3 linked regions of the Macaca fascicularis genome follow. The protein of the gene in region 1 interacts with the protein of each later gene in a pairwise test. Links are inferred from orthologs where the notes say so. Each region holds a gene or a part of one and is shown in the gene's direction. Other genes may lie near its edges.

Evidence for each region.
Region 2: the proteins of SPDL1 (region 1) and CA8 interact in binary tests that used the Homo sapiens proteins (3 or more experiments, as listed by UniProt). The two-hybrid records come from large-scale screens. The link is inferred for Macaca fascicularis from reciprocal best matches to the Homo sapiens genes SPDL1 and CA8.
Region 3: the proteins of SPDL1 (region 1) and DNAAF4 interact in binary tests that used the Homo sapiens proteins (3 or more experiments, as listed by UniProt). The two-hybrid records come from large-scale screens. The link is inferred for Macaca fascicularis from reciprocal best matches to the Homo sapiens genes SPDL1 and DNAAF4.

What each region holds. Positions count from the first base shown.
Region 1 is NC_088380.1:176,413,432-176,418,740, forward strand, and holds part of SPDL1 (protein Spindly), read left to right. Parts: intron 1-124; coding exon 125-319; intron 320-916; coding exon 917-1,066; intron 1,067-1,166; coding exon 1,167-1,265; intron 1,266-1,343; coding exon 1,344-1,454; intron 1,455-3,330; coding exon 3,331-3,471; intron 3,472-5,309. UniProt on the Homo sapiens protein: Required for the localization of dynein and dynactin to the mitotic kintochore.
Region 2 is NC_088382.1:70,156,975-70,162,283, reverse strand, and holds part of CA8 (carbonic anhydrase-related protein), read left to right. Parts: intron 1-1,729; coding exon 1,730-1,864; 3' UTR 1,865-1,896; intron 1,897-5,309. UniProt on the Homo sapiens protein: Does not have a carbonic anhydrase catalytic activity.
Region 3 is NC_088381.1:31,926,759-31,932,067, reverse strand, and holds part of DNAAF4 (dynein axonemal assembly factor 4), read left to right. Parts: intron 1-2,473; coding exon of another isoform or gene 2,474-2,492; coding exon 2,493-2,602; intron 2,603-5,309.

The sequences.
Region 1 (5,309 bases):
CCTAATCTTGGGCAAATAGGAAACTGCAATAATGTCATCATTCAGTAAGTTTGGTTCAATCAGTGATGTTTTTTTAGAGAGAAAATAACTTTCAATTTATGACTTTTTTTAAATTTGGCTTTAGATAGAAAAACTGAAAGTGGAATTAGATGAAGCTAGGCTTAGTGAAAAGCAGCTGAAGCACCAGGTAGATCATCAGAAGGAACTCCTCTCTTGTAAATCGGAGGAACTACGTGTAATGTCTGAACGTGTGCAGGAAAGCATGTCTTCAGAGATGCTGGCTCTTCAAATTGAGCTGACAGAAATGGAGAGCATGAAGGTAATTTTTATGGCATGTGGTTCTCAGGGTTTTCTCTTTCTTTTTCTGGCATATTTTTACATGTTTTGGTAGTAATTCTTAAGAGCTAGTTTGAAGGCTGAAACATTTTTTGACCTAATTTGCATCTAACTAATTAAAAAGTGGGGTTTTTTTAGGTGGATGACTTCAATCATAATATAGCTTTAGATTGTATGATTATGTAGGGCAGCCTTTCTTTTAAATTAATGAAACCTCTGGAAGAATTTAGAGGCATATACTCTGATCCCGGTTTTTATCGTTAAGAGCCCAGTGTAAAAAGTTGGCTCAGTGGAAGCTGAAATGCATGTGAACTTAGTTTTTTTGTTGAAAGCTAAGTTTAATTAAAAATTAAAGCCTGCAATTCATAGAGGAAAAAGGGCAGTCTCTAAAATCATTTGTTTCCTTGGTGAAAAATTTAACAGTAATAGTAATTTCTGTTATTTTAGTATGTACCTGACAACTTTTGACTGGTTCTTTAGTTTTAATTTTGGATGTGAACCACAACTGAGATAAACTGAGCAGCTGCCAAATGAAAGATTATTCAAGAGAATTTCCTCCTTTTCAATTCCTATTAAATAGACCACCCTCAAAGAAGAAGTGAATGAACTACAATACAGACAAGAACAGCTAGAACTTCTTATTACTAACCTAATGCGCCAGGTAGACCGGCTTAAAGAGGAAAAAGAGGAGCGAGAGAAAGAAGCAGTTTCTTACTATAATGCCCTAGAGGTACTATGATTATAGTAACATCATCTTTTCCAATTTATCATAACTTATTTTTTTTGCTAATCTAATGTCTATTGCCTAAATTGTTTTCTTTTGAATTTAGAAAGCTCGTGTAGCAAATCAAGATCTTCAGGTACAGTTGGACCAGGCACTCCAGCAAGCTTTGGACCCCAATAGTAAAGGCAACTCTTTGTTTGCAGAGGTACTTACAAGTATTCTAACTGCTAAATTGGCATTTTCCTTTACTACCAGAACAATTAAGCATGTTAATATTTTGTAGGTAGAAGATCGAAGGGCAGCAATGGAACGTCAGCTTATCAGTATGAAAGTCAAGTATCAGTCACTAAAGAAGCAAAATGTATTTAACAGGGAACAGATGCAGAGAATGAAGGTATAGAACTATCACTATCAAAGGTTTATTAAACAAATTTTATGTCAGCATTACATGTCTGAATACATCAAAGAAACGATCTTTTCCTACAAGGAGTGTACATATAGTTATTTCTAGAACTGCATGATTTCAAAAAATCAGTTTTGAAATTAATCAAAAGATTCATTTATACTTTAAAAATCTTGGAATAAATATTTAGTAATAGTATGTTTAGCAATGATTTTTTTGTTTGTTTTATTGGTTACTCACTAGCTTTGACTTAAATCTTTCTTTATGGAGTAGAAGAAAGAAAAGTATTTATTTCTTATTCTTGGCCTGATGTCTTTCCAGGCATAGCCCTGGTGTTCCTACTTCAGCTGAAACTCGCTGCCTCACCATTCCTCGCTCTTTCACCAAGGCTTATTGTGGAGTGAAATTTGGATTATTCAGGGTTCCCTTTCCTTGTAGCCCCTCAAGTCAAGCACACAGACCTTTTTAATTTTACGGATTTTGTTGGTTGTCATTCTAGCCAAATAAGAGGTAGCAGAAAAATGTGGAAATTAGAAAGATTTCAGTATTTTAACCATCCTTAGAATACTGATCCCTCATCCATTGTGCCTTGCTCTACTGAGGTAGTAATTGGAATGTGGAAAGGCTTCCTTCCTTTTATTCAGATGATGGGCTTTGCCAAAGAAATGGGTTAATGATTAAACTTGGGAGTTAGATAGATTTGGGTTTGAATCATAGTTTTGTCACTTTCTAGCTCTGTGACCTTGGACAAATATTTTAACTTTCAAAGCATCAGTACCTCATCTATAAAGTGGAGATGATAGAACCCCCTCTTAGAATTGTCCTACAGTTAAATGAAAGTGTAGTAAAATACTTACCTGCTACTTGGCAAATGAGTGTTTAATGAACAACAGCTGTGAATTTTATTTCTAAGGCAAATCGTGCTGCCTCATTTCCTGAGACTCTCTCCTGTCTGGGAAGTATTTCTTTATAAATTTTCTCATATTTACTTTAGTTTTCTTACAGTATTTGTCAGGGATACTTTTAATCTGCCAATGTTGCATGATGTCCCAAACTATCTTTAGAGACTAAAAGCATTCTGAATCTTAGGCTAAGTGGGCCTAGCCTCCAATCTGAAACAGGAACAAAAAGGATATCCTTTAAAATGTTAAAAGTCATCTGCAACCTCATATCTTTGCTTGCTTTACTCAAAACTATATTTAAACTAATAGGCACTCTTTTCAACTCCAGAAATTTCCAAAAACAGAAAGAAATGCTAGGTGTAGAGTCTACTTAATTTCCCTTTGATAGCTTTGCAACTCCAGATTTGGGGGGGGCGGGTAGGTATAATTAGGTAAGTCGAGTGCTCCTCTTAAAAAATTAAAACATGGTGTATTGAAGATTGCCCCACTATCCCAAGATAGCCTTTTATCTTTGCTTTTCATGTCATTTGTGAATCTAACATTTGTGGCTGTCAGTAGCTTAGTTTTTCTCACTTAATTAAAGTTAATTAAAATTTTTGAGAAACCCATCAGAACCTTAATGAGAGCGAGTGCTTATGATAAGCAGTCTGCAGCATTTGGCCGGGCTTACTTACCAGTTCAGTGGTGTCCTTTCAGACCACAATCATGCAGGTCAGTTTTATGTTTCACAAAAGTACAAATAATTATGTTACAGACTTCAGTTATCATTCATAAGTAGTCAGAATAAGTATTCAAATGTTATGTCTACAACAAAGTTTATTATTAGATTAGAAATAGCTAATTAGTTTTGTTTCCAAAATGAGTTCAAAGTAATGTAGTATAAACTATGAATTATATCAAAAAAGTAGTTATCAGAATCTTTCTCTCACTTAATTTTATTAGAGGGGGTACTTTTATTTTTCTAGTTACAAATCGCCACGTTGCTACAGATGAAAGGGTCTCAAACTGAATTTGAGCAGCAGGAACGGTTGCTTGCCATGTTGGAACAGAAGAATGGTGAAATAAAACATCTTTTAGGTGAAATTAGAAATCTGGAGAAATTTAAGGTATGTGTAACACTTAAAAAAACACACATCCAAATTTTGATTTGAATACCTTAAAATTTGGTTTGTATTTTAAGTTTAAAATATTAATAAGTATCTTGTGGGAGATACTTTGAGACTAAGTAAATGCCTGTTTCTCCTTATACTTAAACATCCGTTGGTGATTCTTGCCTGAAATACAATTCTGTGATGATTGCTAAATGGGTAATTCCATCACTTCTATATTTATTAGTTGGAATTCTAATAAAGGGACAGCAAAGAAAAATCTTTTCCCTTATTCATTCATTTATTTATATCAGTATAGCGCTATGGATTCTTTATTCTATGAGTTATAATCCATTGCTTGCTTTGTTTACTCTGATACTCAAATTGTCCTAGATTTGGTAGTCGAAGTGCTCTTACTTGAATACTTCCTTACTCTATGGCACAACAAGGTTTTCCTAGCTCACCTGCCCCAGCCCTGGGATTAGCATTTCTTCAAGGAACATTGGTTTATTTTAGTGGATAATGGTATTTGTGTAAGCATTTGTGTGTGTGTGTGTGTGTATAAGAATTCACCCATGTTTTCTAATACGTGTGTGGTTTCATTTTTTACATTTAAATATCTGATCACCACTGAAGTTTATTTTTGTGTATAATTTGAGGTATAAATCTAATTTTATCTTCCTATAAATAAGTAGGCACTTGTCCCAGAGTCATTTGTTAAAAAATCGATCTTGAGCCCAGTCATTTGAGTTGACACCTTTATCATACATCAGGTTTCCATGTATACTTGAGTCTGTTTCTAAATTTTCTGTGTATGCCATTGGTCTGCTTCTGTGTGTGTCAGTACCACACTGTTTTATTAATTATAAAGGCTTTAAAGTATGTTTATCTGGTAGGACTATTTCCTCACTATACTTTTTAATTTTCAGTGTTTTCCTGCCTATTTTTGAATGTTAGTTTTCATTTACAAACATCTTGCCTAGCACCAAAAAAAGCTTGTTGGCTTTCTATTAAAATTGCATGCAATTTAAGATTTTATAAATTAACTTAGGGAACATCGATATCTTCATTAACCTCCTAATGAACTAAAGTTTATAAATGACAAATTTTTGTAAATGTTAATAACCCCTTAGGCATTCTAAATTATAGCCATTAGTATGTCATAAAATCTTAATTAAGTTTACAAAATTTTATTTCTGTGTCTTATAAAAACTGTTGAAAGAACTACAAATTTGGTTAAATTGGCAGCCTTATGTGTTCCATCAGTGGGCTCAGAACTGTACTTTGAAAATTATGGCCTTAAATCGGGAATTTTATTTATAACCTCTGAAATTGTTTCAAGTTTTTAAGCACATTTACCTTTTTTATCCCACTAGAGAAATGTATAGTTTCCATCAGTCTCAGAAGAGTTTGCACTACATTCTTGCCTGGGGTGGGGGGAAGAACCTCAGAAGAGGGGGACACCAAATATAAATGTAAGGCTCTCATCTTTCTTTCATATTTTTCCAGTTTATGGTTTTGTTACAAAGGCCAGAATTCAATCCAGCAGGCATTTATTTTTCTATTTTAAAAGCCAGGAGAGGGAAGGAAGCCAGAGCATATAGGTAAGGCTAGAAGCCTAGGCCTTGGAGTCAGATTTGGGTTCAGATCATCTCTTCTTGGTTTACTTTCCTCTGCATTTGGAGCCTGTTTCCTTATCTGTAAGAGAGGAATGGTAATTATTTTACCTACTTCAGAAGGCAAATAAGTTAAATGGGTAGTTCTTAGTGTAGTACACGCCAAGGAAGTGATGGTGCCGTTACTAATAAACATAACGAACTTTATTTGTTGTTTAAGTAATACAATTTTTTTTGCTT
Region 2 (5,309 bases), on another chromosome or scaffold:
GTTGAGGCAGTAAAGTTCCTAGCCCACATTGCTCCTCCGTGACCTGTGCATGCTTCATAGGTTCAGGTTGCAGGTATTAAGTATGATTACATGGAAAGTGAGTGCTAGGAGAGACGACTTTAAATTTCCTCAGTGAATGATTGGTTTATTGTAAATACTTTCTGCCTCTCCTGAGGAAAATGCACATGTAACAATTTGCATATCATTCAGGACTTTCGTGGGCCCCCTAAAGTCTCTAGGTGTCTCTTGACTTTTGTTGAAACCCCTGAATTAGTTGTTCTCTTGCGTTTCATTTCTCTTCATGAATGGCAGAATTCTATAGCTATGTCATATTAAGGATCTTCATAGATATAATCCCTTGATACACAGATGGTGAACTTTTGGTGTATTGATGCTGCCCAGATCACATATGCTCAATACCCTGGGGTGTATGAAGGAGATAGATTATACTGAATTGACTAGAATTCCTAAAGAGATGGCTGTGGAGCTGAGAAAAGAGCAGGTAGACTTGGAATCGTCAGACTTACCCACTAGCTAATCTGGTAATTTTCAAAACTGTTCCAGCCTCAATTTCCCCTTCTGTATACGGAATGAAGAATGTGTCGTGACTATCTGGCACTTAAGTGAATTAACAGTGAACCCTGTAATGAAATAGATAAATGGAAATAAGCCTGGGGAACGCTCATCACTTTTGCTTGTTGCTTAAACATTAATATTTCCCATAGAGTCATGTCTGGCAGGCTCTAGGTTCTTAGAGAAACTGTAGGGCGGCTGATGGGCAAGGTCCCTGAGGACTCTGAGAACCTCTTCACTTACAGTGGGGAAGCCATGGGACCTGGAGAGCCCAACCAAGAAAGGGAAATGAACTTGAAAATCAATATTGTGAAGACAGGAAGTTGGGCTCAGGCTTTTAGAAAATCATTTTTTGGACCTGTGCTCTCCAGAGGGCTAGAAAAGTTGCAAAAGTCTTTTGATGAAAGGAAACCTCGAATCCATCTGATAAATCTAAGATCTAATCAGTGTTTACATACAGTAACATAATAATTCATTAATTAAAATGTACTTGGAAAGCATTTAAGAGCACATTCATTTGTTCACTCTTTCTTATTATGCTATGGATAGGCATAAAACCTTTTTGGGAGAGGTATGTATCATTGTTTTTTTGAGATGGAGTCTGGCTCTGTTGCTCAGGCTGGAGTGCAATGGTGTATTCTCGGCTTACTGCAACCTCTCCCTCATGGGTCAAAGTGATTCTCCTGCCTCAACCTCCTGAGTAGCTGGGATTACAGGCGCACACCACCTTGCCCAGCTAATTTTTGTATTTTTAGTAGAGACAGGGTTTCACCATGTTGGTCAGGCTGGTCTTGAACTCTTGACTTCGTGACCCGCCCACCTCAGCCACCCAAAGTGATGGGATTACAGGTGTGAGCCACTGCGCCCAGCCTGTATCATTTTTACATTAACAAATGGAGCAGATTTCTGTGTCTCTTTGAGTTGTTCAGAGACCTTGATATGTCTACTTCTGTTGCCATCTCTTGAAAGGGTCCTGTCTAATGTCTTAGGTCTGGAAGAATTAAGTCTGTTTTTTTTTCTTTTGGAAGCTTAATTTTAATTTTCTCTTTAATAATTGTTGTAATTTATGCATATGTTATGCATGCCATTTATGAAACTCCAATCTTGTTCATGTCTGATAATTGATTAATCTATTTTCTTCTGCTTTTATTTTCAGATAGAAGAATTTCGAAGGCTGAGGACGCATGTTAAGGGGGCAGAACTTGTGGAAGGCTGTGATGGGATTTTGGGAGACAACTTTCGGCCCACTCAGCCTCTTAGTGACAGAGTCATTAGAGCTGCATTTCAGTAGCCAAAGAGGACAGGAACCCTATCTTCATGAGGGTATGTCCAGATTAAGTAAGGAAAATGAGGTGCACAGCTACTTAAACCTAGCATACCAAAGGTACACTTACGGTGATCCTGGTAATTTAGTAATAAAAACATATGTACTTCATCTTGATAAAATTTATGACACATTCTTGAGCTCTGTTAATTACAGGTCAAGTAGTTATTTTAATCTTATGCAGTATTGAAGAAAAACTACGATTATATTTTCCTATCAGAGTAGCCTTTAATTCCAAGTTTTGGTGGCTTTCATAAGGAAAGACACCCTGAGGCCCAGAAAAAGTGACACGCATACCTCTTTAGTAACTTACCATGTTGTCCCCTTGAAGCAGCACGAGTCATGTCCCAGTGACCAAGGAGCACACAGGAGGGGGCTTGGGGAACATGTGAGCCTCAGTGTGGATCCTACTTGTCTCCTGCACAATTGATCCTCTTGTTTCTCAGGGTAGGGAGCATATCTGGCATGCATTGAAATACTTCTTCTATGGAAGCGCTTTTTATTTGATAAATTGAGAAGCAGTTATTAATTATCTAAATATGGTACACTGTTGGTTGAAACATTATATATTTTAATATACTGAATTCAATGTATGTATTCCTTACTCTTAAGGAACTAACAAAATAAAATATCACAAACGTGTAAGAGATAAAATATTAAAAAAGACTATATATTGGATTATTTCTTTACCTTGTAAATTAACTAAGAGTGTATAGGTCATTGTACATCATTGGCAAACCATAGCTTCCTAAGGGGAAAGCATCTGTTGGAATGGAACCTAGGGAAGCAGCGAAATCTCATCTCTATAAACAATTTAAAAATTAGCTGGGTGTGGTAGCATACACCTGTAGTCCCAGCTACTCAGGAGGCTGAGGTGAGAGGATCACTTGAGCCTGGCAGGTGGAGGCTGCAGTCAGCTGAGATCGCACCACTGCACTCCAGCCTGTGTGACAGAGTGAGACCATGTCTCAAATAACATAAAACAAAACAAAAAAACAAAGAAGTCTGTCAGGTAGCCGAGGTGACAGATGCGGAGGCTTGGACACTAGAATAGAAACAGTGGAGGTGGAGAGAAGTTAATGTATGTGAAATAGAAATCACAGGTTCTAGCTCATGATGAATTGGATAAGGGGTGGAAGGAGATGGAAGTGTCAAAGATAACTTCTGGGGTTTTACACTTTGGAAACCCTGGATGGAGTGTCACTGAGTGGCAGTGGGAAAGCTGCGGGGAGGCCCTGTTTGGTTGAAGATGAAGAGTTGAGTTGCAGCACAGTGAGTGAGAGATGCCTGTCAGCCAAACTGCAATGGTGGACTCTGGTCGTGAAAGTCATTAGAATTTCCAGAGTAGAGAAGAGAAAACAAGTCTGGGTTGAAATAGGGAAGTATTGGGTGTAGACATTGTATATGTTCATATAATGCTCTGATGGATCTAATGGAGTTACTTAATTAAGTGTGTATAAAATCTTGTGGGAGGCTTTACAGGCAAGTTAGCCAAGACACAGAGAAGTTAGGCTACAGCCCAAAGTAATACAGTTATTGACCAGTGGAGCCAAAGCAGATCCAGGTAGCTTGACTGGCAGACCCCTTTTTCTTCACCACGACATGGGCAGAGGTTAAAGAGTTCTGCCACACTGGCGTTTGAGTGGCACATCAAGGAGGGATTCTGTTGCAGCAGGCTGAAGGACATAGGAAGGGAGGAGCTGGAGACTCCAGGTCGCAGCCACCTTGGTGGGCTGGGCTGGAGTGGGGCAGGAGGCCACAGCAACAGAGAGGGGGTGGGATTGAGGAAATCTTTTTTTTTTTTTTTTCTTTTTTAAACAAAAGAAATAGAACTTGTCTATATACTGGGGGATGGAAAAGGAGCAAGCAGATGGAGAGAGGCTGAAGGTGCTGCTTTTGGGAGGAGCTGGAACAGTGAAGTCTGAAAAGTGGAAAGGGATGAAATCCTAAACACACAGGGAGCCTGGCTTTTGCTGAGAGGATGGGCACTCTCTGTGCTGCAATGGGAAGGAAGAAAGAAGGAGGTGGTAGTTTAGAGCTGCTGTGTACCCATGACTTGCTCTTATCATTTAATGATGAATGGGGCAGGAGCTAGGAGCAGGAGAACAGTAGGGAAGATAGGATAGGAGCAGAGGAAAAAGGAAGGATGTGTTCATAGGAGAGGCCAAGAGGCAGCGGGGGTGGGATGAGGGTTGCAAAGCGTGAATGCATGCATTTATCCAGTCTAGGTTTAGTTAGTATACTCCCTGTGAATGTGAATAACTGTAAATGATACTTTTAATGAAGGGAGATTATTCCCTTGAATATCTGGTTTGTATCTGGTCCTAGACCAGAGTTGCCATTCTCTAAATAGCTAAATTACTATTATTATTTTCTGTCCCTCTTTTACACACACACACACACACACACACACACACACACAGAGAGAGAGAGAGAAAAACGTTGTTTATGAGATTTTGTATATTTCACGTACTTTGTATTCTTTATATGATAGATGAATAATGTGTAGTTTTTCAAAGTTTTGAGTTAATTACAATTTAGGTACTATTTCTGATAGGAAGATGGATTTGTATTCTTATCTTGGTGGCTGAGATTACTTAAAGGGCATAATTTGCTCCCAAATTCCTAAGAATAGTACAGGAATTCTAAGGTGACTCTAATTCTGATTTCATTTTTTTATGAATACATTTTTTATCCTTTTATCTTGAAATGTGTAATACAAATCTAGTCAGAGTTCTATATAAAAATTATATTGGGAATCAGACTTATGTGTGTGTACTTTTTATTTGATATTTAATAATGCCCTAAGGCAGGTAATTCAAATTTTTATTAAAGTGAAATGATTTGACAGTCACACTTTGAATTTAATGCATGAATGTTTCATTTAAGCTCTTGGAACTGAAAAGGAAAAGACATTTCTCTGGTAGTTGTTCTCTAAAAAATGTTTAAAATAATTCAGATTTATTTTAGCTATGTTTTACTGAAATAACTTTAGTTTTTAGACTTAAAATGACAGATTTTTTTAAAAAATGGCGTGTCTGGGCACCTGGAAGACTTTGATAACCAAGCTTTATTATTCCCATGAGTAATCTGTGACTTTTTATATTACCATTTAAGAAGTATGAACTATGATTTTGTATTATACTTGTTTAAAGAATTAGTATGTAATTCATCCAGGTGCTGGAGAATCTTTGGTTCAGCAGTGCTAGTTCAGATATTGATTTTAAATGATCCTTTACCCATTGACTTTTCTATATGATGCAGGAGAACTAAATGTATTTTAATAACAATGAACAAATGATATAACAAGTTTAAGGTCCAGTTTACTTGTTACTTTTGCTATCATGACATTGGTAGTAATCTTCCAACAAAATGATTATTTGATTATTTACCTTTTTATTTCATTAAGTGT
Region 3 (5,309 bases), on another chromosome or scaffold:
ATTTTCTATAATGTTAATAGACATATAAACTCTGGATCAGTATGTGTTTGGAAAGAAGATACTTGGAAATTATTAATATATCATTACAACTAATTATTTCTAATAACAGGTATTTGTAATGTGACATTTTGGAATTAATATCTTCCATCCATGTATAAATTCCTAAGCCCTGGATTTCAAATGTTGTATATTTAGTTATATTAGCACTAAGAACTACATTGTTTTGGCTGGATGCGGTGGCTCATGCCTGTAATCCCAGCACTTGAGCCACCGCATCCGGCCAAGAATTGCATTTTTTAACTGAAAGTCTGAATTGACACATCTTTCAATTGAAAAATTGTAGATATAAGAAGATCCTTAAGACATAATGACAAGCCGGGCACGGTGGCTCACGCCTGTAATCCTAGCACTTTGGGAGGCCGAGGTGGGTGGATCACCTGAGGTCAGGAGTTTGAGACCAGCCTGGCCAACATGGTGAAACCCCATCGCTACTAAAAATACAAAAATTAGCCTGGTGTGGTGGCAGGCATCTGCCAGCTACTCGGGAGGCTGAGGCAGTAGAATCACTTGAACCCAGGGGGTGGAAGTTGCAATGAGCCAAGATTGCACCATTTCACTCCAGCCTGGGTGACAGAGCGAAACTCCGTCTCAAAAAAAAAAAAAGTCAATGACAATATAAATATTAATTTTTTTGTATTATTAAACAATGTATTTTCTGTATTTATAACATTTCTATAAGTATACAGTTAGAATTATTTTTAAATTGTGTTTATACACATATACACACACACCCCTTTTTATTTTTTTAGAGTTGGGGTCTTGCTCTGCTGCCCAGACTAGAGTACAGTGGGGCAATCATGGCTCACTGTAGCCTTGAACTCTTGGGCTCAAGTGACCTTCTGTATATTTTTCAGTATAGAAGAATGAAAATACTATAACGAAGAAAGGCAAAATAATAATCACATGGGCTGGGCATGGTGGCTCACGCCTGTAATACCAGCACTTTGGGAGGCCGAGGTGGGCAGATCACAAGGGCAAGAGTTCGAGACCAGCCTGGCCAATATGGTGAAACCCCATCTTTACTAAAAATACAAAAATTAGCCAGGCGTGCTGGCACATGCCTGTAATCCTAGCTATTCAGTAGACTGAGACAGGAGAATTGCTTGAATCCAGGAGGCGGAGGTTACGGTGAGCTGAGATCATGCCACTGCACTCCAGCCCTGGAGGACAGAGTGTGACTCCATCTCAGGAAAAATAATAATAATAATAATAATATCACATGAACTCCCAGAAAACAAGAAATTTGGCTAGAAACTTCTATCTATTATATTTCAACCAGCTAATGAGGTTTAAAAAAAGTTTAAGGCCGGTCATGGTGGCTCAAGCCTGTAAGCCCAGCACTTTGGGAGGCCAAGGCGGGTGGATCACAAGGTCAGGAGTTCAAGACCAGCCTGGCCAATATGGTGAAACCCCGTCTCTACTAAAAATACAAAAAATTAGCTGGGCGTGGTGGTGCATGCCTGTAGTCCCAGCTACTCAGGAGGCTGAGGCAGAAGAATCGCTTGCACCCGGGAGGTGGAGGGTACAGTGAACCGAGATCGTGCCACTGTACTCCAGCCTGGGCAACTGAGTGAGACTATGTCTCAAAAAAAAAAAAAAAAAAGTTTAACAATGTATAAATATTGCAAGATTAACATCACCATCGTCGGCCAGGTGGGGTGGCTTATGCCTGTAATCCCAGCACTTTGGGAGGCCGAGGTGGGTGGTCATGAGGTCACGTGTTCAATGCCAGCCTGGCCAAAATAGTGAAATCTCGTCTCTACTAGAAATACAAACATTAGCTGGTCATGGTGGCACACGCCTGTAATCCCAGCTACTTGGGAGGCTAAGGCAGGAGAATCACTTGAACCTGGGAGGTGGAGGTTGCAGTGAGCCAAGATTGTGCCACTTGCACTCCAGCCTGGGTGACAGAGCAAGACAAAAAAAAAAAAAAAAAAGTTACCATTATCAAATAGTATGTTAATCTGCTCTGGCTGCTATAAATAAAATACCATAGACTGGGTGGCTTAAACAATGAAGAGTCATTTCTCATAGTTCTGGAGGCTGGGAAATCTAAGATCAGGGTGCCAGCATGGTTCTTGGTAGGAGCCCTCATCAGAACCTGTAGACAACCACTTTCTCACTGTGTCCTCACAGTGGGTGAGGGAGCTCTGATCTCTTTCTTCTTATAAGGAAAGTAAACTCATTCTGGAGGCTCTCCTCTCATGACCTAAACCTAATTACCTCTCAGAGGCCCCACTTCCAAATACTGATTCACATTGATGGTTAAGGCTTCAGTATATCAATTTGGAGGAGAAGTGGGGAAGACACAAACATTCAGTGCATAACAAATAATATTTCCATCCACTGGAGGAAGATGGAAAATCTAAAAGGAAATGTTAATTTTTAAAAAAGACCTTTTTCTTCTTCATAGGACTTCTTTCTCATTCTAGTGGCTACACAAACAAGCTGAGGCACGAAGAGCAATGAATACTGACATTCCTGAACTTTGCGATTTAAAAGAAGAAGAAAAGAACCCCGAATGGTTGAAAGATAAAGGAAAGTAAGTTGTTTGAACTCTGATCATGAGCTTTATCATGTATGAAGACATTAGTAGTTATCACAGGACGAGTATGGTAGCTCATGCCTATAATCCCAGCCCTTTGGGAGGCCGAGGTGGGATGATCACTTGAAGCCAGAAGTTCGAGACCAGCCTGGGCAACAAAGTGAGATTTTGTCTCTACAAAAAAACAAACAAAATAAAACATTAGCCTGGCGTTATGGTGAGCACCTGTAGTCCCAGCTACTCGGAAGGCTGAGGCGGGAGGATCCCTTAAGCTCAGGAGTTCATGGCGGTAGTGAGCTATGATTGGCCAGTGCACTCCAGTCTGGGCAACAGAGTGAGACCCTGTCTTTGAACAAAAAAAGTAGTTATCACATTCTCTAGATATTTTGTCTGTTTGTGTGTTGTTGCAGAAAGATAATCCAAATAAGCAAATAAGGTAGACAGGGCCTCCATATTTAAAAAGTCAGATAACAAGGCAATGAGGCTCTAATTTTATTTTTTTATTTAAATGTCATAAAAATGAAAAAAAAATTACATCTTTTGGAATGCTTATTAAAATTCCTTTTAAATGCCTTTTACATTTGACATAAGTCCTTCCTGATGTCTCCCATAAAAACAGACTTTTTGCAAAGCTAGAGCTGTTTTGATTATTCTTATCCATTTATTTTATTTATTTATTTATTTTTTTTAGATAGAGTCTCATTCTGTCACCCAAGCTGGAGTGTAGTGGTGCAATCTCAGCTCACTGCAACCTCTACCCCCCAGATTCAAGCAGTTCTTCTGCCTCAGCCTCCCAAGTCTATGGTTTTACTCTTGGATTACAGGCATCCACCACTACACCCAGCTAATATTTTTTGTATTTTTAGTAGAGACGGGATTTCACCATGTTGGTCAAGCTGGTCTCGAACTCCTGACCTCTAGTGATTCGTCCACCTCGATCTCCCAAAGTGCTGGGATTACAGGCATGAGCCCCGGTGTGGGACCTATTGAAATCCATTTTTAAAAGAGGACCATTTTACTGCCTTTCAGGTCACTGGCTCAAACACAAAGAAGATTACCATATTATCCCAGAAATTATCTTATATCTGGGCAGTCATTTTATTCATTCATTTGTATATGGATTTTTTTTTTTTTTTTTTTTTTTGAGACCAAGTCTCGCTCTTGTCCCCCAGGCTGGAGTGTGATGGCATAATCTTGGCTCAATGCAACCTCCACCTCCCAGGTTCAAGCGATTCTCCTGCCTCAGCCTCCTGAGTAGCTGGGATTACAGGCGCCTGCCACCACGCCCAACTAATTTTTGTAGTTTTAGTAGAGACGGGGTTTCACCATGTTGGCCAGGCAGGTCTCAAACTCCTGACCTCAGGTGATCCGCCTACCTCAGCCTCCCAAAGTGCTGGGATTACAGGCGTGAGCCACTGCACCCGGCCATGAATATTTTAACATACTGATCAAAAACAGTGAATTCTGGTATATTCTGAGTGGCAGTTTGTGTTCATATTTTGAGGCAGCTATAGATATTATTTATTATATTTCATCATATATGATTCTGTGTTTATTTTCCTATTGCTTCTATAACAAACTACCACAAAGTTTGTGGCTTAAAACAACACAAATTTATTATCTATAGTTCTGTAGTTCAGAAGTCCAAATGAGTTTTACTGGGCTAAAATTAGGTATCAGTTGCATTCCTTTTGAAGGCTCTAGGAGAAAAGCTATTTTCTTAAATTTCCAGCTTCTAAGCTATTTGCATTCCTTGGATTGTGGCTCCCCAGCCACTGATTGCATTCTTCTGAGCTCTGCTTCCATAGTCTCTTCTCCTTTTCTGACTCTCCCGCCTCCTTCTTTCTTTTATAAGGCCTCTTGTGTTTATATAAATCCCACCTACATCATCCAGGGTACTCTCTCCATCGAGCTCTTTAACTTAATCACATCTGCAAGGTCCTTTTTGCCACGTTAGGTAACATTCGTAGGTTCTGGGATTAGAATATGGACATCTTTTTTGGGGGGCGGGGGGCATTATCTGTCTACCACAATATCTGTATTTTTCTTTTCTTTTTCCTTTTTCTTGGTCTTTTCTCTTGTCTGTTACAACACCAGGAATTGTTTTGTGGCGTTTAGCTAGAGTTGGCAATTTTTCTGAAGGTTAGAAGCCTGGAACTGACAGGTTGGCTCTTCTAACTCCCAAGAGTAATACCATATATAATCTTTCCTCCTCTTTCTCTTCTTCCTTTCTTCCTTCCTATTCATTTATTCAGCCATTAAATAAGCAATTATTGATTGCTTGCTATTTGCCAGACTATAGGCACTGAACAACAGAAATCAGGAGGAGAGAGACATACACAAATACTTAAAACACTGTGTGGGAAGTACAATAACATGGATAAGAACAAGGTAATAGGGCCGGGCGTGGTGGCTCACGCCTGTAATCCCAGCACTTTGGGAGGCTAAGGCAGGTGGATCACCTGAGGTCAGGAGTTCGAGACCAGACTGAACGACAAGTAGAAACCCCGTCTCTACTGAAAGTACAAAATTAGCTGGGTGTGGTGGCGCATGCCTGTAATCCCAGCTACTTGGGAGGCTGAGGCAGGATAATTGATTGAACCTGGCAGGTTGAGGTTGCAGTGAGCTGAAATTGTACCACTGCACTCCAGCCTGGGCAACACAGTGAGACTCCATCTGAAAATAAAAAGAAAATTTCTGGCCA